Oryctolagus cuniculus: one gene and its partners. The protein of the gene in region 1 interacts with the protein of each later gene in a pairwise test. Links are inferred from orthologs where the notes say so. Each region holds a gene or a part of one and is shown in the gene's direction. Other genes may lie near its edges.

Region 1 (5,723 bases):
AAGCCAGGAGCCAGGAGCTTCATCTGGATCTCCCATGTGGTTGGCAGAGCCGCAAACATTTGAGCCATCCTTTGCTGCTCTTCCCAGACCATTAGCAGGAAGCTGGAAGGGAAGTGGAGCAGCCAGGACTCGAACCATATGGGAGGCTGGCACTGCAGGTGGTGGGTAGCTTTACCTGCTATGCCACAATGCTGGCCCTTAAGTTCATTTTCTTTCTAAATCTGTAGAGCAGAATTGCTACTCAAAATACAGTCCACAGACCTCATCCCCTCAGGATTGTTACTGGCCTACAGAGAGGCAAGTGCAGAAATTAAGGTGCAGAGTTTAGAAATCCATAGAGCAATTTTACAAGAAATGCTACAGCTGGTGACTGTAATAAAAATATTTTCATTTGGAGTTCATAGACCTTTTTTCATTTCATTTATATTTTATTAAAATATGATTCACAATTGGAAAAAAAATTTTTTTGACAGGCAGAGTGACAGAGAGAGAGAGAGGGAAAGGTCTTCCTTTTTTCCATTGGTTCACCCCACAATGGCTGCTGCGGCTGGTGCACCGCGCTGATCCAATGGCAGGAGCCAGGTGCTTCTCCTGGTCTCCCATGCAGGTGCAGGGTCCAAGCACTTGGGCCATCCTCCACTGCCTTCCCGGGCCACAGCAGAGAGCTGGACAGGAAGAGGAGCGACCGGGACAGAATCCAGCACCCCACTGGGACTAGAACTTGGTGTGCACCACTGGGACTAGAACCTGGTGTGCTGGTGCCGCAGGTGGAGGATTAGCCAAGTGAGCCACGGCACCGGCCAGAAATTTTTAAAATGATAATAAACTGATGGCACTCCAGAGATAGTTTGAGAAACACTGCTCTAAAGCTGTTCAAAATAAAGAGGATTTGGGATCAACTTGGTGGCCAAACAGGTTAAGCCTGTTCAGGTCCCAGCTGCTCCACTTCCCATCCAGCTTCCTGCTAAGGTGCCTGGGCAAGCAATGGGGGATGGTGGTAGTGCCTGGGCCTGGGGCACCTAAGTGGAAGACCCGGATGGAGTTCCTGGCCTCTGGCCTTGGGTCTGGCCCAGCCCCAGTCCCAGCCCCAGCCTCAGCACTTGGGCCATTTGGAGAGTGAACCAGGGATGGAAGATCGATGTTTCTCCCTCTCTTTCTAACTCTACCATTCAATTAAAGAAGTAAATCTTTACAGAGAAAGTTTTGCCGAACGCTTATTTGTTTATTTATTTGGAAAGTCAAAGTTAACAGAGACAAGGAGAGAGAGAACATCTTCCATCCGCTGGCAATAGTCCGCTGGAGCCAGGAGCTTCATCCAGGCCCCCAAGTGGGTGCAGGGGCTCAAGCACTTGGGCCATCTTCTACTGCTTTCCCAGGTGCATTAGCAGGGAGCTGGATCAGAAGTGGAGCAGCTGGGACTCGAACCTGCGATCAGAACCACAACAGCAGCCCCTAAATGAGACTGCCTTGAGATCTACATGCCTGAAAGTAAGCTTCGCATATATTTCCTCCCCTCGGGTCATTTACTTTATACAACACAGGCACTGTAGCGATAGTAAAAACAAGCAGAAGAAAAATAGCAATGACCCTGAGTTCGCAGGCGTCCTCACCGCAGGGAAAAGCGGAAAAAAGAGAGTAGAGACCCAAAAGCCAAGGGCTGCTCCAGTTGCCGCAAGTGCGCACGCGCAGGTATTAGCCCGGGACAGCGGAGGAGGGAGCAAAGCTGTGGGTTTGACTAGGAAGCCACGCCCCCACGCCCCGGCCGCGCCCCCCCACGCCCCGGCCCCGCCCCCGCCTCCCGCAGAGCCTAGAAAGGGTCAGGATGCTGTCACTTCCGCCCGGGCTGCTTTTTGCGTCCGGGTCAACTGCTGCCGCTGCAGCTGCCGCTGGGGCTGCGGCCGGGGACTAGGCTGGGTTGTGCACCGCTGACCGAGAGGAGCGGGCTCCTCTCGGCGCCGTCTTCTGCGACCTGGCAGTCAGCACCACGTCGCCGGCCTGGAGGGTAGAAGAGGACGAGGAGGCCAAGGCTTCCTCCGGGGTGAGTGCGGCCTGGGAGGGCTCAGCACGGCGAGTCCGGGCGCCGGGAACTGGGCTGGGGGCGCACGTCTGAAGGGGCGCTTGCCCAAGGCCGGCTGCTGCGGAGCGGAGGCCCAGGGCGTTTTCCGTTGTTCGGGGTGCGCTCGAACCTGCTTGGGAGGCGCCTTCCGGCTCCCCGCCCGGCTCAGGTCCCCGCCCTTGGCTCGGCTCCTTGTGTGCGTTTGCCAGCCTTGCACCCCCAGCTCCGTCGCTTTTCCGTTTTTGTTGCTTGTGCCGGGGATGGAACCTTCCCCCGTGTCTGCTCCTCCCTCCACCCGGGGTCTGGGCGCGGTGACGGGCCGCGTTGGTTCCGTACTGGTGGTCTGAGTCTGTCCTGTTGCAGAACAAAGGAAACTTGGACTTGTGTGGCGTGCCGCGTACCTTCGGGGGTTAGGCACGGAAACAGCAAACAGGGCTTTATAGACGGCCCCGGGCGAGCTCGGCCAAATACCGGGTGTGTGCGTGAAAAGCTGCGTCCCTCCGTGTTTACAGACACGGCCTGTTAAGTACCTGGCGAGAAAGGGTTTGATGTCCTGGGTGCGTCCGCTGCCCCTGGAGAGCTAAGCTACTTGATCAACCCGTGTTAAATCAGAAATGTGTTTCGATCTTTAATACGTTGCTTTGAAACTGACCTCGTCTGTCTGGGGGGGCTCTGCGCAGACAGCTTTTCTGTGTTCATTAAGGTAGTCCCAGTGCCTCCCAGTTGGTTGAGTGAAGTGAGTGCATTATAGTGGTGCTTTTTCCATCCTTGCCTTTTTTTTTTTTTTTTAAACGGGGGAGTCTAACTTAAGTACTGCTTGATTTTTTACTTTCAGTAAAATGTCTCCTTTTTCTGATGTTTTATGAGAGCTTCTGCAGTTGTAGAAGAAATTTTGTAATTTGTAAATGGCTACATTTCGCCAGAATTTTAATGGAAGTTACCTAGTGAAGTTAACGTTCTGACTAGTAGTTTCTGAGTCATCTTGCACGTTTTCTCCTTAGCTCTTATTTTGTAAACTGCGTTCCTGGTCTTGATCATCTTTCCTCCTGCAGCCTGAAGTTGGGCTTAGAAAGTATGACATATCTTCTGCAAACATGAACTTGAACTAGGTTGTCATCAAGCAAGGAAGGTTCTTGTGACTTGCAGGCATTACGGAACCTTTGAAACTAAGTGTACCAGATCCGGCCATGAGACTTACCGTGTATAAAGCTGCCAGTGGAGGAGCTCCGGGATCCAGGATGTGGTGTCATTTGCTCACATAAGACAGAACAGGGATAATAATACCAGTGTCGGCGCCTCACAAAAGTTGTCGGCTGGAGCAGATGAGATGATGGTTGTACAAGTGTCAGTAAGTGGTGAAAAGCACTGTTTTGGACAGGGCACTGTTCATTCTAACTGGATTAATGCTTGAGCGATAAGGATAAGAGCTATCTAGAAAAAAAAAAAAAAAGACACAGACCCAGATCCAGTATATTAACCTTGACTGACATTGGATCAAAAGGTGTCTTGTTAAGAGTACTTCATATAAAGCAAAAATACTATGATATGGTGATAGTAATATCACACAGTTGTTAAGCTCTTTTTAACGGTCTCTAGTATGTTCTGCATACTGATCACTTTTTGTTAAGATTTCTTTATTTATTTGAATGGCAGAGTCAGAGAGGGGAGAGAGATCTTGCATCCACTTGTTCACTCCCCAGATGGCCGCAACAGCTGGGGCTGGGCCAGGAGCCTGGAACTCCATGTAGGTCTCCCATGTGGGTGGCAGAGGCCTAAACACTTGAGCCATCTTCTGGTGCTTTCCTGGGCCCATTAGCAGGGAGCTGGATCAAAAGCTAGAACTCAGGGGATGCCAGTGGTAGCTTAACACACTATGCCACAACAGCGGCCCCTGCATACTGATATTTTGAGTTAACATTTCTCATAGAGATCTCATTTATTTTTTTTTAAAGATTTATTTACTTATTTGAAAGGCAGAGTTACAGTTAGGCAAAGGCAGAGAGAGAGAGACAGGTCTTCCATCCACTGGTTCACTCTCCAGATGGCCGCACTGGCCAGAGCTGGTCCGATCCAAAACCAGGAGCCGGGAGCTTCTTCCGGGTCTCCCATGAGGGTGCAGGGACTCAAGGACTTGGGCCATCTTCTGCTGCTTTCCCAGGCCATAGCAGAGAGCTGGATCAGAAGTGGAGCCAGGTCTCGAACTGGCAGCGATATGTGTGCCAGCACTGCAGGCGGCAGTTTTACCTGCTGTGCCACAGCCCCAGCCTTTCATTTTATTCTTAAAAACTTATATGATAGGGCCACGCAGTGACACAGTAGGTTAATCCTCTGCCTGTGGCGCTGGCATCCCATATGGGCGCCGGTTCTAGTCCTGGATGCTCCTCTTCCAATCCAGCTCTCTGCTATGGCCTGGGAAAGCAGAAGATGACCCAGATGTTTGGACCCCTGCACCCACGTGGGAGACTGGGAAGAAACACCTGGCTCCTGGCTTCAGATCAGTGCAGCGCACTGGCCGTAGACCTTTCTCTCTGTCTCTCTCTCTCTCTCACTATCTATAACTCTACCTGTCAAATAAAAAAATAAATAAATCTTAAAAAAAAAAAACTTAGATGATGCTACCTACCCTGAAGGGAACAATGATGAGCATAAAGGATTTTTTCTGGGGGATGTTTTGGCAATTCTCATAAACATATAGGTTGTTGATTTAAAACTTAACATAAATGTTTAGAGTGAAACTCTTTTGTTTAAGTGGAAAAAGGCTTGCCTGGCATTTTTCTTCTATCAGCATAGATGGTCATTGCTTGCACCAATTCCAGCAGCAGTTACTACTATGTAAAATTTTAAGTTGAGTTGGAACTGGACAGTTCTAGATATGACCCTAATGTTTGATTTCTGCCTTTTGTTGCCAAGTTGCATGGGGAAATCCTTTCCTTCATCCTGATTGGATATACAGATCACAACCCCACCCCTCCCCCAATCCATTATCTCCTTGAAATTTTTTTTTTTTGACAGATAGAGTTATAGACAGAGAGACAGAGAGAAAGATCTTCCTTTACCATTGGTTCACCCTCCAAATGGCTGCAGTGGCCGGCGTGCTACGCCGATCTGAAGCCAGGAGCCAGGTGCTTCTTCCTAGTCTCCCATGGGGATGCAGGACCCAAGGACTTGGGCCATCCTCCACTGTCATGCCCCCCCCCCCCCCACCGGGCCACAGCAGAGAGCTGGACTGGAAGAGGAGCAACCGGGACAGAACTGGCGCCCCAACCGGGACTTTTACAACCTCCACAGATAAATGGTGTAGGAAGGGATGTGCCACCCTGACCCCAAGTTTGTTGGGAGATCAGTTATTCCTGTTGCATCCTATTGTTATCTTTTTTTAAGATTTATTTATTTATTTGAAAGGCAGAGTTACAGAGAGGCAGAGAGAGAGAAGTGTTCCATCCGCTGGTTCATTCCCCAGATGGTTGCAAAGGCCAGAGCTCAGCTGATCCGAAGCCAGGAGCCAGGAGCTTCTTCCGGGTCTCCCACGTGGGTGCAGGGGCCCAAGGACTTGGGCCATCTTCTGCTGCTTTCCCAGGCCATAGCAGAGAGCTGGATCAGAAGTGGAGCAACCAGGGCTCCAACCAGTGCCCAAATGGGATGCCGGCACTGCAGGTGGTGGCTTTGG
Region 2 (5,565 bases), on another chromosome or scaffold:
GCATTTGTAAACGTGTCTGCTTGTCCATGCGCGCGCGCGCGCGGCCGTCGCCCGTCAGGTGCTGCCCTGAATGGCAAAGGTGCAGAGAAAGCCCTGCACGCCGCCCCGCGCCCGGTGCTAACGCAGGGCGAAAAGTGCTCCGGGGAGAGGGCACCCCACCCTCCTCCCGGCCCGTTCAGGTGGCGTCCGGCCTTGGCCTCCGAGCCGGAGTCCAGCCGGTGACCGGCTGCCGTGCGTGAGCGCCTAAGCCCTGCATGGACGCCCGGGAGGCGAGAGGGAAGTAAACACGACTTTCTCAGGGTGGTCTCACGGCTGGGGGTTGGCGAGGGCCGGCGAGGGCCGCGGGCTCCCCACGGCGCTGACCTGCGCGCGATGTGCGTGGCCCCGCACCCTCTCCACACACACACACACACGCCCGGCCCGGAAGGTCCACGCGGCTGCCGGCGCCTCTGCAGCCCTTGTTTTCATGGCGTAGCTCCGGCCCGGCCCGGCCGCGTGCGGCCAGCCCGGCGCCCGTGGCCCACCGGCGGGCCCCGGCGACCCCCGAGCGCAGGCCGAGCCCGCCGCAGGCCCGGGGAGGCCCCTGGCACACCTACCGCGCCGCGGCCGCGCCACCCACCGGCCGGGCCCCGCGGGCGGCCGGCCCGGGCGCGCCCTCCCCAGCCGCGGCCCCGCGCGCCATGTGTGCCCGGCGGGCCCCGGCCGGCCGCGGCGCCTTTAACCGGGGAAGGGGAGCGGGGCGGAGGGGGGGGCCGTCGGGCGGCTCAGAGGAGGGCTCTTTCTTTCTTCTTTTTTTGAATGAACAGTGACGTACGTACAGGAAACCAGTCGGTTTGTGAGGAGAATGAAGTCAGCGGCCAGGCCCCCGCCCGCCCCCTTCCTCCCCGCCCCCGCCCCTCCTCCGCGCGCCGCGCGCCCGCCCGCCGGCCCGCCCGCCCGCCGCTCCCGGGGTCCCCGCCGCGCCGCCGCCGCCGCCCGCGAAGGTGCCCGGGCGCCGGGCCCCCCGCCAGCGGCCGTCAGAGCGCGGAGCTGCCGCACGGCGCGACCGGAGGAGGCGGCGGCCGCCGCCGCCAGCGCCCCGGCGCGGGAGCGGGCGGAGCAGAAAGGGTGCGCAGCCCGGAGGCGGGTGCGCCGGCGGGTGCAGCGGAAGAGGGGTCCAGGGGGGCGAACTTCGTAGCAGTCATCCTTTTTAGGAAAAAGAGGGAAAAAAAAAATAAAACCCTCCCCCGCTCCCCACCCTGGCCGCACCACACACGGCGCGGGCTCCTCGCGAGGCCGGCGCGTCCTGCCTTCATTGATCCGCAGCTTTTCGGAAAACGCGTCGGCTGCTCTCGGAGTTGAATCAGAAGAGGACCCCGCGCCGGCCGGGCCCCGTCGGCGTCCGGGGCAGAGTCCGCGCCGTGCCCGCGCGGCGCGCGCGCCTGTCAGTGGCCGAGGGGAGCCCGGACGGAGCGCGCTCCGGAGCTCGGGGCCGGATTCCTGCGGATTGACGTTTCTGAGGAGCAGAAACCCGGGGGCCAGCCTGGAGACCCCCCCGCCCCGGGGTGCCTACACCCGCGCCCGCCGCCTCCCGATTCATTCGGAAGTTTCCAAGCGGCTCTCACCCGGGAGCTCCGAAGATTGATGGGATCCTTGCCTTATGCGTTTGTTTTGGTTTTGCAGAGAAGGAAACTGGACAGAGGGTCATGCTGTCCTTTAAAAACACAAGTAAGTTCTTTGCGCAGCAGATCGGGCTCGCGTAACTTTCGGTGGCGGCACTCGAGATGCTAACTCGGAGTGCCTTCGAGTAAATGTGAATTTTCAGGCAGTTGAATGCGTTGTTTTTAGCCGTGTGGCCCGCAGCGTGCATGCCCCCGCTTTCTCTCCGTGTGTGCCGGAGAACGCACCTGAGTTTGGCTTAACCAGGTTTTGTTTTTGTTTGTTTGCCTTTTTTTTTTTTCCAACCTTCTAGCATCACGTAGGGAAAAGACTGGCGTTCACCACGCTTATGAATGATAACGTGCCTCGTGAAACAGAGATCCGAAAGGGATTTGAGTAAAAATCTCCTGCGCCTGCTGCCAACGGGGAAACACCAGAAGCGAGGGCTCCGCGTGACTGAAGACACCCCCGCGCCCGAGGATGCGGCGCGCGCCCGGGAACCCCGCCGGCTTCTGAGCGGGCCCGTGCGGCGGGACGCGGCCGGAGGCACCGCGGGCGCCCAAGGGCAGCATGGCGCACGCCGGGCGAACAGGGTACGACAACCGGGAGATCGTGATGAAGTACATCCACTATAAGCTGTCCCAGAGGGGCTACGAGTGGGACGCTGGGGACGCGGGCGCCGCCTCCGCGCCGGGCGTCTTCTCCTCCCAGCCCGCGCCCGCTGCGCCCCGGGACCCGGCCGCCAGGACCTCGCCGCCGCCGCCGCCGGCCGCCGCGGGGCCCGCGCTCAGCCCGGTGCCACCTGTGGTCCACCTGACCCTCCGCCAGGCGGGCGACGACTTCTCCCGGCGCTACCGCCGCGACTTCGCGGAGATGTCCAGCCAGCTGCACCTGACGCCCTTCACCGCGAGGGGGCGCTTTGCCACGGTGGTGGAGGAGCTCTTCAGGGATGGGGTGAACTGGGGGAGGATTGTGGCCTTCTTTGAGTTCGGTGGGGTCATGTGTGTGGAGAGCGTCAACCGGGAGATGTCGCCCCTGGTGGACAACATCGCCCTGTGGATGACTGAGTACCTGAACCGGCACCTGCACACCTGGATCCAGGATAATGGAGGCTGGGTAGGTGCCTGTCTGGTTGCACGTGAGTCTGGGCTTGCGGTCGCAGGTCCGAGATGCCGTGGCGAGGGTGTGGGTGGACCCCGGGGGCCGGGGCAGACTGCAGAGCCCGTGAGCTAACAGCAGGTGTGTCACTTTCCCTGCTTTCCCTCCAGCGCGCCCTGCAGGAAGCGCACCCTGCCCTCCCAGCTAGGGCAACTGCTTCCCGCCAAAAGTGGTGTGCCAGCCCTGGAGGCTCCCAGATGCTGCCTTTGCGGCCCAGTAGGATTTTGTGATGCATGGTCCTGCCTTCCCGTGCTTCTCAAACTGGGGCTGCGGAGTCCCCAGCACCACAGTTACGTGGCCTGGGTAGTTGAAATCGCAGGTTTCAGGGACTTGGTGTGGACCAGACACACCGCGCATCCCACGACCACCACCACCCCAGGGCGAGGCCCTGGCAGTCTGCATCCTAAACAGGCTCCCCTGGTGGATTTGTCTTTGTCCTAAAAGTTGTAAGCCACCCCATCGAAGAACAGACTCCCCCAGAGGACCAAGAACATGTTTGCCTCACTGGGTAAAAACTGCCCCAGAGGAAGCCCAGTGTAACCCCTTTCCCTGAAGGTCTTAGCTGTGTTTGTGAAGAGGTAAGTGGACGTAGGGAGAGCCGGGGGAGTGTTCACCTGCTGGTCGGGCCGTGACCCAGTGGACACGATGGTGTGCATTGAAGGGCAGCAGTCTGTGGATGCGCTGCGTCCTCTTGTCAGTGATGGGGTTTGGATTGGCTGCAGACTTTGTGTGCTGTCCCTTGTGTCGCATTTAGAAGTTTCCTGGAGTTTTACCATCTCTTACATTTTACCACCTAGACGCCACATGATTTTGTGGTCTCTGCTTACATACACCACACACACTCACAGAGAAACTTGCACCTAGGGAAACTATGTAAAGCGTAGAAGAATTGATCTTTAGCTGTGGATTCTTTCATGCGCTGACCAGGGTTGAAGTGATGAGCAGCTGTGACTTTTAAGAACCTTGGTAAGACGCTTTTTCTCCCGCTCCGGGGCGGTTGCTAGATAGAGCTTCGATCCTGTTCACCACGCAGTTGTATTTTTCCATGATGCTCTGGGACTGGGGTGCGGATCCCAAGACTCAACGGTGCTTAATTAAGATTTCCATCTCTTACCTAAAAGGATTAATTTATGAGAAAGTAATCATTCTTGTCTGGAGTTTTGTTAAACTTTGTTTTTAGTCTGAAGAGTTATCTTGGAAGAAGGATGCATTTCTGTGAGCTCTTCTATAGTCTCTTAGGAGAATGACTCACATTATAGAACCTAATGGGATCCAAAAGCCTAGACGTGACTGCAAGAAGCACATTTCTTCATTTTTGCTCCATTTTTCAAAGTATGCTAATATTAAGGGGCCAAAAAGAGACGGGGCCAAGAAATGTAGGTGATTGATGTGGACATCTGATATTATTTGACCAAAGTTGACAAAATATTGATGCCACTGTTCAATGTTTGAATGTAAAATTAACTAAAATATCCCAATTTAAATCTCTAAAATTTAATGACTCTTTATGGATTGTTTGTTGAAATCCCACATTATCAGGTCTTTAGTGATTCTGGAGTAATTTGCTAAAGGATGAAAAGAATATTTTTGTTAAGTGTTTAGTTAAGCAGCTGGTTTGATTTTTAATCACCATAACCAAAGAGGAAGGGACTTGTAGACTCCGCAAGGATCATTCTAAAACCAAAGTAAAACTGATTTAATAGGTCTCCTGGTTCCTATTTTTCATAAAAAAAAAAAAGAAATCCATATTAAAAAAAAAGTTCTGTCTAGTTGAAAGAAATCCATGGTGGAAACCGCCATGTATCAAGCAAGTTAATAAAGTGGTAGGAAACAGACACATGTTTATGATGGAGATTAAGATAGAACCTTGATGTTTGTTGTTGAGCTGCAGTATGTTAATGTCTCATACAACTGAGGTTTCCTTTTAAATGAGGGCTCACTTTTTCTTCCTTTCACAATAGAGTTTTCGTTGTAGAGCCTATCTTTGTGGTCAACAGGTATCTGAGGTCGATAAATGCACAAGCTACATTTTATGATGCCAAACCACAATGACATTCTGTAGCACATGATAAAAATTTTTTGACAAAACCTCTTACAGTAAAAATAAATCATATAGAAGCACAAATGGCTGATGGTAAAATGTGTAATAGTTTTCAGAGCAACACGTAGATGGATGACTACAGGAAAACAAAGGAATTTGGCAACAAAAAAGAGTATAAATCAGGAAATGCAAACATATGTGGATACTCTGGAATAATAAAAGTGGTAGTATTTGAGAGTTATACATGATTTGCCTATCATTTCAAATGTGTATTATTAATCTAAATTTTTATTTTAAACATTTGGCTTTCAGAAAGACAGGTTTTCCTTACAGTTCACAAAGTCAGGGTTGCATCTCAGACTGTAAAGAAGTCTTAGTGACAATGGTAAAGTTTCACAGAACTAACTTATTTTCTTGACCTGCAGAAATGATTGGCACTGTTGCCAGGGGTCAGTGGATCAGTCAGCCCAACTGCTAAATACCGCACCCAACACTCCAGGCTTCAGACTTGGAGCCACTTTTTCTTCTTTGCTGCTGCAAAATCAGAACCTTCTAAGGCTGGGGGAAACGTCTGCATTCTGTGTTTCGTGACACGGAGAAAGCAGGTCCTTGGAATGTTCAGCCTCTGAGAGATGATCCTAGAAGCTCACAAATTACGTGAAGACTAAAGAAGTAATTGGGTGTGGAGTGGAGTGTGGCTTTATTCCTAAGTCTGAATAAGGCATTGT
Region 3 (5,742 bases), on another chromosome or scaffold:
TGGGAAACTGCCACGGGACCTTTTCACTCCGGCTTGGGCAAGGATCGGGACCCTGGCTCCCCCTGGGCCCTGTCGCTGCGCCCGGATCTGTGACTCCAGCCCAGGCTCTGCTTAGCGTCCCAGGCTGCCTGCCCATCTCCCCAGGATGCTGAGCGGGGCAGGGAAGGGTCGGAGGTGGGAAGGGTTTGGACGTCGGTGAGTGCAGAGGACAAAGTATGTCCATTTGGGAAAGGAAAAAGGAGAAACAGCCGGCGAGGAGGGCGAGGGACCCGGGTCAGGGCCTGCCCTGCACGGCAGGACCAGGGGCTCCTATAGCGACAGCCGAGCGGGGAGCAGCTCTCTCCCGGCTCCCTTGGAAGTGCTCTTCCATCTGGCAAAGGGTCCCTGGACCCTGGCTGCTTGTCCAGCTCTCTGCTGGCCGCAGGGCTGCTCAGTGCCGTTGGCACTTGAATGAACAGGTGATTCAGGTTCCACCCGGGGAGCCCCGGGGTCCTGCTCTCTAGGTCCCCCCGACAAAGGCGGAGGCCTCTCGGACCTGGGCCCTGGCTGAGTTAGCACCCGCACAGGAGGCACGGAGGGGCTCCCTCCACTCCAGCCTGCGTGACAGTGCCTCTCCAGGGCCAGCAAGGAAACCCCAGGACGGCAGTGCCGTCTGTCAGTCAGGGACAGGTGTGGGCAGCACAGGACCAGAGGGGACTCAGCATCTCGGAGTGAAACCCCAGGACAGGATGACCTGGAGACCGCCGCGCCCTGGTGCCGCCGCCAGGTGGGCTTCCTGAGGTCCCCGCTGGAGCTGCCGGGTGCTCAGGGCGTGGGGCACAGCACCCACATTTTGATCCAGGGCAGCGCCCCGGGGGCCCAGGCTGCCTGCTGATGGCTCCAGGGCTGAGCAGAACTCCTGAGGATCTTGACGGAAATCAGACTCACGGGGGTGGGAAATAAGCCCACCAGAGACCACCCGGCCTGGAAGGATGGACTCTGACACACAGGTCAGAGAAAAGCCAGGCTCTGTTCACAGCCTGGCAAGGGCGGGTGTCTGGGGACAGCACACTCAGAACAGGGAACGAGGCACACACACCTGCACACAAGTCCCTCCCCCCTCTCCTCACTGGCCGAGGATTGAAAAGTTCACACACCCTGATGCACAAGTCCCTCCCCCCTCACCTCATTGGCCGAGGACTCACAGGTTCACACACACCTGGTGCGCAAGTCCCTCCCCCCTCTCCTCATTGGCCGAGCACCCACAGGTTCACACACACCTGGTGCACAAGTCCCGCCCTCCCCTCTCATTGGCCGAGCACCCACAGGTTCACGGCCCACGCCCTTCCCAGCCGTCTCCCGCCCTCTGGGTTTCTCCTGTCTCAGAAGCCGGCCGTTTGCTGTCCCAGGTCAGCCCCTGTCCCCGCCAGGAGCCAGCCTTGCCGCGCTAACACCCGTCTCGTGTGTGAGCCCTGCGGGTGTGGCCGCGCCTGCTGTGTGTGAGCGGGTGTGGCCGCACCTGCTGTCCGAGGGATGGGTCAGCGTCAGAGATACTGTGCAGCACCAGCCTGGCCTCAAGCAGCAGCCAGCACCCCCTGGGGCGGACGCGGACCGAGAGCCCGGCCGGCCCAGGATCTGCGGGGAGCCTGCCCTGCCTGGATGCGGTACCTTTGAGAAGGGACCGTGCACTTGCCTCCCACGCCCCTTCCCCGTGCAGGCTGGGGAAAACCTTTGGCAGCAGGACTGGCGGAGCTGACGGTCTGCTGTAACCCGGCTGCAGACCCGACGGGTGGTGACCGAGTGTGCAGTCCCGACGCCGTGAGGCGACGGGGCTCCTGTGGCTGCACGGTGATCTGAGAACCGACCCTTCCTCATTCCCCGCGAGGGGAGGGGTGAGGCCAAGGAGAGCCGGGTCAGGGGCTGAGGGGACGCAGGCCCTCCCTGCCCCAGTGCCCTAGGCTGACCACACAGAGCACGGGAGGCTGGTGCAGGCGGGGAAGGCTTCCTGGAGGAGGTGCCTCGTGGCTGAGTCTCGGAGTGGCTGGGGGAGAGGGGCATTTTAGGCAGAGTGGATAGCATGGACAGCGGAGCGAACCCAGGGGCAGGGGAGGGTGGCAGCCCCGGTCCTGGGGCCCTGCAGGCCAAGCTGAGGAGTCTGAACCTGACGGCAGTCAGGACGCGGGAGCGGTGGGCGCCACGGACGCGTCCGCCTCTCCCCTGCCCGGCGCCGCCGGGTCCCTCCTGCCGGAGGACTGTCTCTGCCCGGGGACCTTGCCGGTGCTGCCCGTCGGCGTGGCCTCGCCCTAACCCTCAGTGACGGAGGGAGCCGCGGGGGCACTGGCATGGGTCAGAGGTACCCAGGGAGCGGTGCGGGGCCGCCGGGGGTCCTCGGGGGGTGCCGAGCCGGGGCGCAGGGCGCGAGCAGGGGGACGCCCGGCCGCCGTGACCCCCGCGCGCGGGGCCGCACCGGCTCGGGCGCGGGCCGACCACAGCGCCGAGGGCGCGGCCCCGCGCCGGCCCCTGAGTCAGCGGCGCCCTCGGCCGGCTGCTGAGTCAGGCCGCAGCGGGGATGCGGCGGCCGCGGGCACCGCCCTGCGGGCCCGGCCCGCACCCGGGGGGCGGGCGGGGCGGCGTCCGCGCCGGGGGGCGTGAGCGCCTCGGGGCGCGCTCGGGGGCGCACGGAGCCGGCGCGCGGCCCCCGACCCCCGCCCGCGGCCGCTCCCGGGGAGGCGCGAGTGACGTCACGCGGGCGCGCGGCATTGTGGGCGGGCGCGACGCGGAGTCGCCATTTTCGGCGGCGGCGGCGGCGGCGGCGGCGGCGGAGCGCGCGGCCGGGGCGAAGCTGCGAGGAGGGAGGCGTCGGGCGGCGCCGGCGGTGCAGAGCCCAGCGCCGGGCCGGGGATGCGTGGCGGCCGCTGCGCCGGCGCCCCTTCCCCGTGACCCGCGCCTGAGGCGGCCGAGGCCGCTCCCCGAGCTGACAGCGCGAGAGCGCACGGCGGCGAGCGGGACGGTGAGTGCCCGGCCCGGCCCGGCCCGGCCCGGCCGCGCCCGGGGCCCCGCAGGGTCGGGTCGCCGCGCGCCGGCCGCGCATCCCCGGCCCTGCCTCCCGGCCCCGCCCCGCATCCCCGGCGGGGTCCGAGCCCGCGGGCGGGGGCGGCGCGGCCGGCGCTTTGTCCGAGCCGGCGCTGCCTTCCGCCCCCGCCCGCCCGGCACCGCCCCGGCGAGCGCTGTCAGCCCCTCGGAGCGCCGCGGCGGGCCTGACGGGGGAGCCGGCCCCGCCGTCGGTGTGGACCGGCAGAGCGGGCGGAGCCGGCGTCCGGGCGGGTGGGCTGGGAGGACGACGCCCTTTGAGGTGCGGGCACCGGAGGCGCAGGCGGAGCGCTCGGCCCGGTGGGCGGAGGGCCGGGGCTTGTGAGAATGCACGGCCGCGCGGACTCGGCGTCTCGGGTGGTGTGGAATTGGGTGTGGGTGTGGGTGTGGGTGTGGGTAGCGCAGCCTCCCGGTGCAGCCGCGCCTGGCAGCCGGCGGGGCGGGGAGGCCGGGGCGCCTGGCCGCAGCCCCTGCAGGGCCGAGGGCCGAGGGCCCCCAGGGGCAGGGGCGCCCGGCGACAGAAGCTGCGGTTCAGATTTTACGTTCTTGCGGTGCTTCGTCGCACTGGAGAGGGAAGGCCCTGTCACTCTCCGTGAGGGCTGGAGAATAGACGAGGCAGGACAGGGCAGAGCTGAATGAAACGCAGGCGTGGCGCAGGCTGGCAGCGTCCTCAGTGGGTGGGTGGGTGTCAGGCCGGCGCTTCGCGGTGAGGAAGCGGTCAGCGCCTCCACAGAGCAGGTGCCGGGCAGTGAGGATTGTGCAAGCTGGACGGAGCAGGTGCTGCGCCGACGGGCAGCCCCCGGCGGCGGTGTCCACCAGCAGCAGGCCGCCTGGCCTGGGCAGCACCCCGACTCCTCATGGCAGTGGTGGGGAGACGCTCCGCGGCTGAGCCCAGCGGCTGTGCGGGGGCAGCTGGCCCGGGAGCCGGGTGGGGGCGGCCGGATTAGCGAGGATTGCAGGGGTCACAGTGACCTGCCCTGGGGTGCAGGCCGAGCAGCCCCGTGAGAACCCCGGGCAGATGGCGCGGCCCTCCGCCGAGGTTGCCCAGTGTCCCCCAGCACCCCACCTCCTCTGCCGCCTCTTGTGCCCAGGCTCGGGGGCCTCCAGGGCACCTGCCCCGCCCGACCCCCCCAGCCTCCCTCTGTCTAAACACCGTCACCTGGTGGCGGCCGCAGGGCGGGTTCTGTCGGCCCGCTCAGCGGCAGTGCCGCGCGCCTCATCCATGCTGAAGGCCTGCGTCTCCAGCGGCTTCCTCCTCTCTGGCTTGCGCGGCTCACTTCCCACCAAGACGGGCAATGGGAACAGGACGGAAGCAAGTTTGGTTTTGGATGCCTTAGATCCCAGGCGCTTGTGGGACCCCAGGCGGCCCAGTCGGCGGTTGGGAGGGGTCCGGACACAGGTGGGCTGGAGGTCGGGACTGGAGAGGCTGTATCCTGCTGTGAGAGGCCAGTGGCGTCCCGACGTCCAGCCGTGTGGAGAGGCCCTTGGGAGCCAGGGGAAGGGGAAGGGGTCGCGTTCAGAGTGGCTAGGCGGCCGGAAGGGCTGAGGAGAGCTCAGCTGGGTTAGGTGGTGGCAGTTGCTAATGACTCAGGTTCCCTTAGAATTCCCCAGGAGGCTGGCTGTCTCCTGCAGCCCTGCTGTGTCATTCTGCTCCCCGTCTCGGGTCAACAGGGAGTTACAGTTTACTTCGCCTTAACTGACTTTTGGAGGCAGATGGAGGGACTTGGTCTGCTTTGAGTGTCCCTGGCGTACTGCCTCCACTTTTAAAGGATGAACGGGACTTCCGGCTGAGTTGCGGTGCAGATTGAAAGCAGCCGGTAGGGCGGTTGTGCGGGCTGTGAGTGAAGCTCCGCTCGGGCGTCCAGTTCCTGCTGATGCATCCTGGGAAGGCAGCAGATGTGTGGGAGGCGTGGATGGAGCTGGGGTCTGGGCCAGCCTCAGCTGTTGTGGACATTTGGGGAGTGAAGCAGAAGGTGGGAACTCTTTGTTGCTCTTTCATATAAACAAATAAAAAACAACCAAACAAATAAATAAATCTTTTAAAAAGATGAAGCGGGGGGGGGGGGCGGCGCTGTGCGTAGTGGGTAAAGCCATGCCAGCTTCCCATGTGGGCACCGGTTCTCGTCCCGGCTGCTCCACTTCTGATCCAGCTCTCTGCTGTGGCCTGGGAAAGCAGTAGAAGGTGGCCCAAGTCCTTGGGCCCCTGTACCTGCGTGGGAGACCTGGAAGAAGCTCCTGGCTCCGGGCTTCAGATCACCTCAGCTCCAGCTGTTGTGGCCATCTGGGGAGTGAACCGGTGGATGGAAGACCCCTCTCCCTCTCTCTCTCCCTCTCCCTCTCCCTCTCCCTCTCCCTCTCCCTCTCCCTCTCCCTCTCCCTCTCCCTCTCCCTCTCCCTCTCCCTCTCCCTCTCCCTCTCCCTCTCCCTCTCCCTCTCCCTCTCCCTCTCCCTCTCCCTCTCCCCCTCCCCCTCCCCCTCCCCCTCCCCCTCCCCCTCCCCCTCCCCCTCCTCCTCCCTCTCTGTAACTCTTTCAAATAAATAAATACATCTTAAAAAAATGAAAATGCAGCAGGAGTTAGTTTCTTGGTTCTGCAGGGGCCCAGCTATCTCCGTTTGAGCCAGGTCTGTTCCCTGACTTGAGCTACTTAAGGTGGGAGTTCAGGCCTTTCTGAA
Region 4 (5,043 bases), on another chromosome or scaffold:
TTTTTAACTTCACATTAATAAACAAGTCATACTGACTTTAGAATATCAAAGCTTATCCATGCCAGGTTCAAATATCGGTTGTGAGGTGTTCAACATGGAGAGGATGATGGATGAGACCATCTCTGAGCATCGATGGGAATGATATTTGCATTATCTGTAGTGAATACTAAGATGTGAAGCGACAATTTCAAATATTGTCTCTGAAATATCACATCCTAAAGGAAATAAGAGATTTTCAAATTACTGATGAAATGTAAACTGCATGTATTCTTCCATCCCTTAAACTCCATTTGATATTTACCAGTTGACACTCTGCATACTGATTCAGAGTTGAGCTACTTAAATACAATTTAACTGTAGATGAGTCCTCCAAGCAGGCCCCAATACTGTCTCACTTATCATTTGACTAAGCTATTAATGCTGTGATGGAAGAAACAGATTATTCAGGAGAAAATATTGAATATCACTTTCAAGTTGAACATATAAAACTGGTAGAAAAATAACTTTTGGGAACTGCTTTTGAATGTTTTCTACTTGGCTTGCATTCTATATTCCTATAGAATTAAGGAGATAAATATGATAGAATGTCATTGTTTTAGGGTTGTTTTCCAGCTGTTCCCGCCGTGGGCACCAAGGACAGGACAACGATCAGTCTTCCTGGAATCCTAGAACAAAAACTCTGGCTGCAGTAATTAAACGTTTGGTGTCTTCCCTTATTCATGTTAACAGAATGTCTTCCCTTTGTGTTCTTTAGGTCCTTGCCTTGTTTAATCAATTAGGATGTCAGTCTCTCCTTTTTTCATCATTTTTCATATAGGCCTGAATCAACCTTTCTTCACCTACAGGTCATAACACATAAACCGTACACCCCTGATATACCAGCACATCTAGTGATTAGGTTGCCCTGGTTGAACTGATTCCCTTCTTTGATAACTCTGAAGATTTGTGCTTTTACTTTACTGAGAGGCAGGAAGCAATCTTGGTGATTCCCACCAGGCCGCTGTGAGGGTAGGAATGCCTCAATAACGTGAAGTGATTTCCCCTTCTTCTTGTTTCAGGTTCAATGGATCCAAATGACTTCCTGAGGGAGGCACAGATAATGAAGAGCCTAAGACATCCAAAGCTTATTCAGCTTTATGCTGTTTGCACTTTAGAAGATCCAATTTATATTATTACAGAGTTGATGAGACATGGAAGTCTGCAAGAATATCTCCAAAGTAAGCTAAATACTTAATAAAAGGGAAAAAAGGAAGAATTTAGTTTGACTAGTCCTATAAATGTCAATTTAGCAAATCTTCTATAACCCAAAGGACATTTACTGTGTGTGCTGTGAGAATGAATGTCTTAACACTGAGTGGCTCAACTACTATTTAACAGGATATGTACTGTGTCATCAAAGGCAGGAAAAATATTTATGTAGTGGAAGAGCAAATTGTTCACAGTAGAATCAGAGTACTTAAATATAATGTAGGGAATTGAAGATTTGATGTTTTGTGCTTTCTTTCCTATACTAACTAAACATTATCAGTCATGGCTAATATTTTCTGTTTCACAGAATTTGGGGACATGGAATACTTTTGGGGAAACAGAGCTAGAAGTATCTTAGGCTTTTGTTTTTCTTTTTTCTTGGCTAGTGTTTGACAGTATTGTATTTATTTGTGTTTAAAATACTTCCACTGCCAGGCAACATTAGAATTTTCAGACTAAAAAGCAGATATAGATTATTGCATTATTCTTATATCAGCTTCCTGTAGTCAGAGAAGTCTTAAGGGCATGGTGAAATTTTGATGTTTATTACAAATGAATAATTTAATAAATAATATAATAAGTATTAAAATGAGATGTTCAAAGAAGTTGAGATCAAGTACTGAGAGAATAATTCATGCTTGAGAAAGAGACTTTTGCTATAATTTCTTGAAGTGTCAGAGTGAGATTGAAAAAATGTATAGAGGTAAAAGGAGATAAGAATAATGGAACAAAGATTTCAGAAAGATAAGAGTATTCTCTGATTTTGGGGTGACTAGTGAAGCTGATAATAAGTTGCAAAGCAAGATAAGAACAAAGAACACAGTAAGGCCTGTTAAATGCTGTTAAAAACAAAAATATTCTTACTCTCTTGCATAAAGACTTCTGATTTAATAGCAGTTGAATATGTTACCCACCAAAAAAAGGCAAATGTCAACCACTGATCCCTTTTGCCTATTCCTAGGACAAAATACAGGCGTGATCGTAGGCCATCTTGTTGTGGGGTGTGGGTCTCCTGACAGGGCTTATTACAGGCTTCCTCCATGCATGAAGGAATTCAAACGTGGAGGCATAAAGTTATACAGGGGATTTGGATTTATGTAGAGCAAACAAAAGTACAAACTCAATAACTAAGGCCAGTGAGAGAGAGAGAGAGAGAGAGAGAGAGAGAAATGAACAAAGTGTAAACAGTTCCCAAAGCAAAACCCCTTACCTTGTAAAAACCTCCAACATTGAAAAAGCCCTCAGCAAAGCAACCCTCACCCTCAACAAGCTTAGGTCGATACCACCCAGAGGTATAATGGGTGATATCTGGAGTGGAGCCTATTTGAATATTGAGAAGGAGGTAGAATTTGGAGTGTGGCTTGAGTACCATCTATTTCCATGCCTGTTTTTGGAAATACTGGAAATGTCATGGCGTTAGCTATATGATGGGAGTAGAAGTGACCGCATGATAATTTCATTGTGATGACATTATGATGACCTGCAGGTAAGTATTGGGGAAGGGGGGACGTCTTGCAGCCATATTGGATAGCTCCTTTGCTCATCTTGTTCAGTCTCTTTTTAAAAACTTGTTTATGACTGATGATTCCTTAAATTTTGTTTCCCCTTTACCTCAAAATAATATATCCAACTGCCCTTTTAATGTCTGCATTTGAACATTGTATCAGTCTCAGATAATGAAGGTATACTATAGCAAATGTTCCCCAAATCTCAGGGACTTATCACATGTATTTTATTCTTCCTCATGTTATGTGTGCAAAATGCATTGGATGGTGGCTCGATTCTTTTGATCATCCTGGCTGGGAAGGGGGATGACACTAATCCAATTCTGGCTCTTAAAGCTTCTGACTAGATATGACAGAGGTAACTCGTGTGCCTTCTTCACTTGGCCAAATCAAGTAAAAGGGTGTAAGGAAGTACAGTTCTGTAAAAAAATGTTTGTGAACAGCCCTAAATTCTGATCATGTCCATTCGATATCTCAGAATGACTTATCCAAAACTGATCTCCTTGTCTTCTCCCCAGCACTGCTACTCTTGCAGTCTCTCCTTCTTTGACAATGTCAACTTTCAGGCCTAATATTTTGTAGTCATTTCTGCTTCTCATATCCCATATCTCACCAATCAGCAAATCTAATGACTTGCCTTCAAAATATATCCAGGATTTTTGCCTCTTCCCAATGTTCTTACATCCAAGCCAATATCATCTGTGTCTTGGATTCAGCAATAAGCTCCTCATTGGCGCACCTCTTTTGGTTATTGTCCTCTTTAGCATCCTTTTAACATGATGGCTTGGGAGATCCAGTTAAAATGCAAAGCAGAGCTTGTCCTTCCTTAGATGAAAACCTTCTGTGCTTGTCACTGGTTATCTCTTCTTAACTCAGTCCTCCAGGATCATTTACCTGTCCATTAGCTCTCTGACCTCAGCTCCCATACAACTTGCCCCTAGGTCACTTGGTCAGCTGCACAGGACTCTTTGCTATTCTTCTTATCCTCTAGGAATGCTTTCGTCTTAAAGTTTTTGCACTTCTATTTCCTCTGCTGCGATTATTCTAGTTTCTTATCCAGATGCTCACTTCTCATTACCTTAAAGTCTTTGATGTTTCCATCTTGGTGAATCCTTCACTGGTCACCTCACTATATTAATTCTAAAATTTAAGTCTTCTACTGAATCGTTGTATTCCTCTTATCTGCTTTTTGTTTACTCTCCTTAGCTGTTAATCAACATATTACATTCCTTATCTATTTAGCTTATTTCTCGTATCTCCTAAATATAACTCCATGAGGGCAGAGATTCCTCTTCATTTTAGTGCTAGAATAGTGTGTGACCCTAAAGATGTGTACTAATTATGTGTTGACTGATTGAATAAATAAACTGGGATCATCTTGACCTTAATATGATTGAATCTTGGGGTCAAACTTGTTTTTAGACTCTTGACATCAGCTTGAAAAGACCCAGTTAGTACACAACAACTTCCTGGGGCATTGAGGATTCCTGTGGCTTGTTGATAAGGTTTCATAGGACTGAGTACAAATTTTATCATCTTCTGGGTTAGGCCATCAGGGTCAAGTTTATCAAGGCCTTCATTTGTAAGGATATTTAACAGCCCAGATGATGTAACAGGGAAATGCTTCCTGTCAGAAATCCCTTCCCAGTCAGAGGATGTGAATTCAATAAAGTGGCCTTAAAAGGAATCTGCCACTCTTACACAGCCAATCGTGATAAATGTTATTAAATTGAAAGACTTGAGTAATAGGAAGTAATTAAAAATATTTTCTTGCTGCAAATATAAATTGTGACAGGTTTGTGAATCTCTATACCAGTTTTGATACATAGAGGTTTTATTTGAAGTATGTGCTGAGGTTTCTTAGGACACTATTCTGTTCCTAATAAGATACATGTATTACTTGATTTTCTTCAGTATTATGTCTACTCATGAAAACCTTTTTACATCCAAGATGTAAGATTAGGTGCTGTATTTGATATTTGAAATAACTACTTAATTTACTACATATCAATCTTCATAAGTTTGACTGGATTCTATTTTTTGTTATAATTTTCTCCAAAATCAGAGAAGCCAGTCAAAAAACCTTAGCATTGAGGATAATTGATGACAGATATTTATTATTGAAATTAACAGAAGATAAATATGTGCATTTTCTTTCAGTTTAGTTGGGCTTCACTCTCATCCCTGTAAATGCTTATTGAACATCTAACAAATGTCAAGCATTTAGGTACCTTAAGGTGTAGCAAACATTTTCTACTTTTTTTTTTTAAGATTTATTTATTGATTTGAA

The links.
Region 2: the proteins of BNIP2 (region 1) and BCL2 interact in a two-hybrid assay, tested with the Homo sapiens proteins (3 studies listed by BioGRID and IntAct). The link is inferred for Oryctolagus cuniculus from reciprocal best matches to the Homo sapiens genes BNIP2 and BCL2.
Region 3: the proteins of BNIP2 (region 1) and KLC1 interact in binary tests that used the Homo sapiens proteins (3 or more experiments, as listed by UniProt). The two-hybrid records come from large-scale screens. The link is inferred for Oryctolagus cuniculus from reciprocal best matches to the Homo sapiens genes BNIP2 and KLC1.
Region 4: the proteins of BNIP2 (region 1) and FRK interact in binary tests that used the Homo sapiens proteins (3 or more experiments, as listed by UniProt). The two-hybrid records come from large-scale screens. The link is inferred for Oryctolagus cuniculus from reciprocal best matches to the Homo sapiens genes BNIP2 and FRK.

Annotation. Positions count from the first base shown.
Region 1 is NC_091443.1:82,562,207-82,567,929, reverse strand, and holds the start of BNIP2 (BCL2/adenovirus E1B 19 kDa protein-interacting protein 2), read left to right. Parts: upstream 1-1,810; 5' UTR 1,811-2,038; intron 2,039-5,723.
Region 2 is NC_091441.1:15,290,568-15,296,132, forward strand, and holds the start of BCL2 (apoptosis regulator Bcl-2), read left to right. Parts: upstream 1-2,071; 5' UTR 2,072-2,208; coding exon 2,209-2,754; intron 2,755-5,565. UniProt on the Homo sapiens protein: Suppresses apoptosis in a variety of cell systems including factor-dependent lymphohematopoietic and neural cells. Regulates cell death by controlling the mitochondrial membrane permeability. Appears to function in a feedback loop system with caspases.
Region 3 is NC_091451.1:46,418,882-46,424,623, forward strand, and holds the start of KLC1 (kinesin light chain 1), read left to right. Parts: upstream 1-2,122; 5' UTR 2,123-2,321; coding exon 2,322-2,332; intron 2,333-2,772; exon of another isoform or gene 2,773-2,989; intron 2,990-5,742. UniProt on the Homo sapiens protein: Kinesin is a microtubule-associated force-producing protein that may play a role in organelle transport. The light chain may function in coupling of cargo to the heavy chain or in the modulation of its ATPase activity.
Region 4 is NC_091436.1:55,211,164-55,216,206, forward strand, and holds part of FRK (tyrosine-protein kinase FRK), read left to right. Parts: intron 1-1,058; coding exon 1,059-1,217; intron 1,218-5,043. UniProt on the Homo sapiens protein: Non-receptor tyrosine-protein kinase that negatively regulates cell proliferation.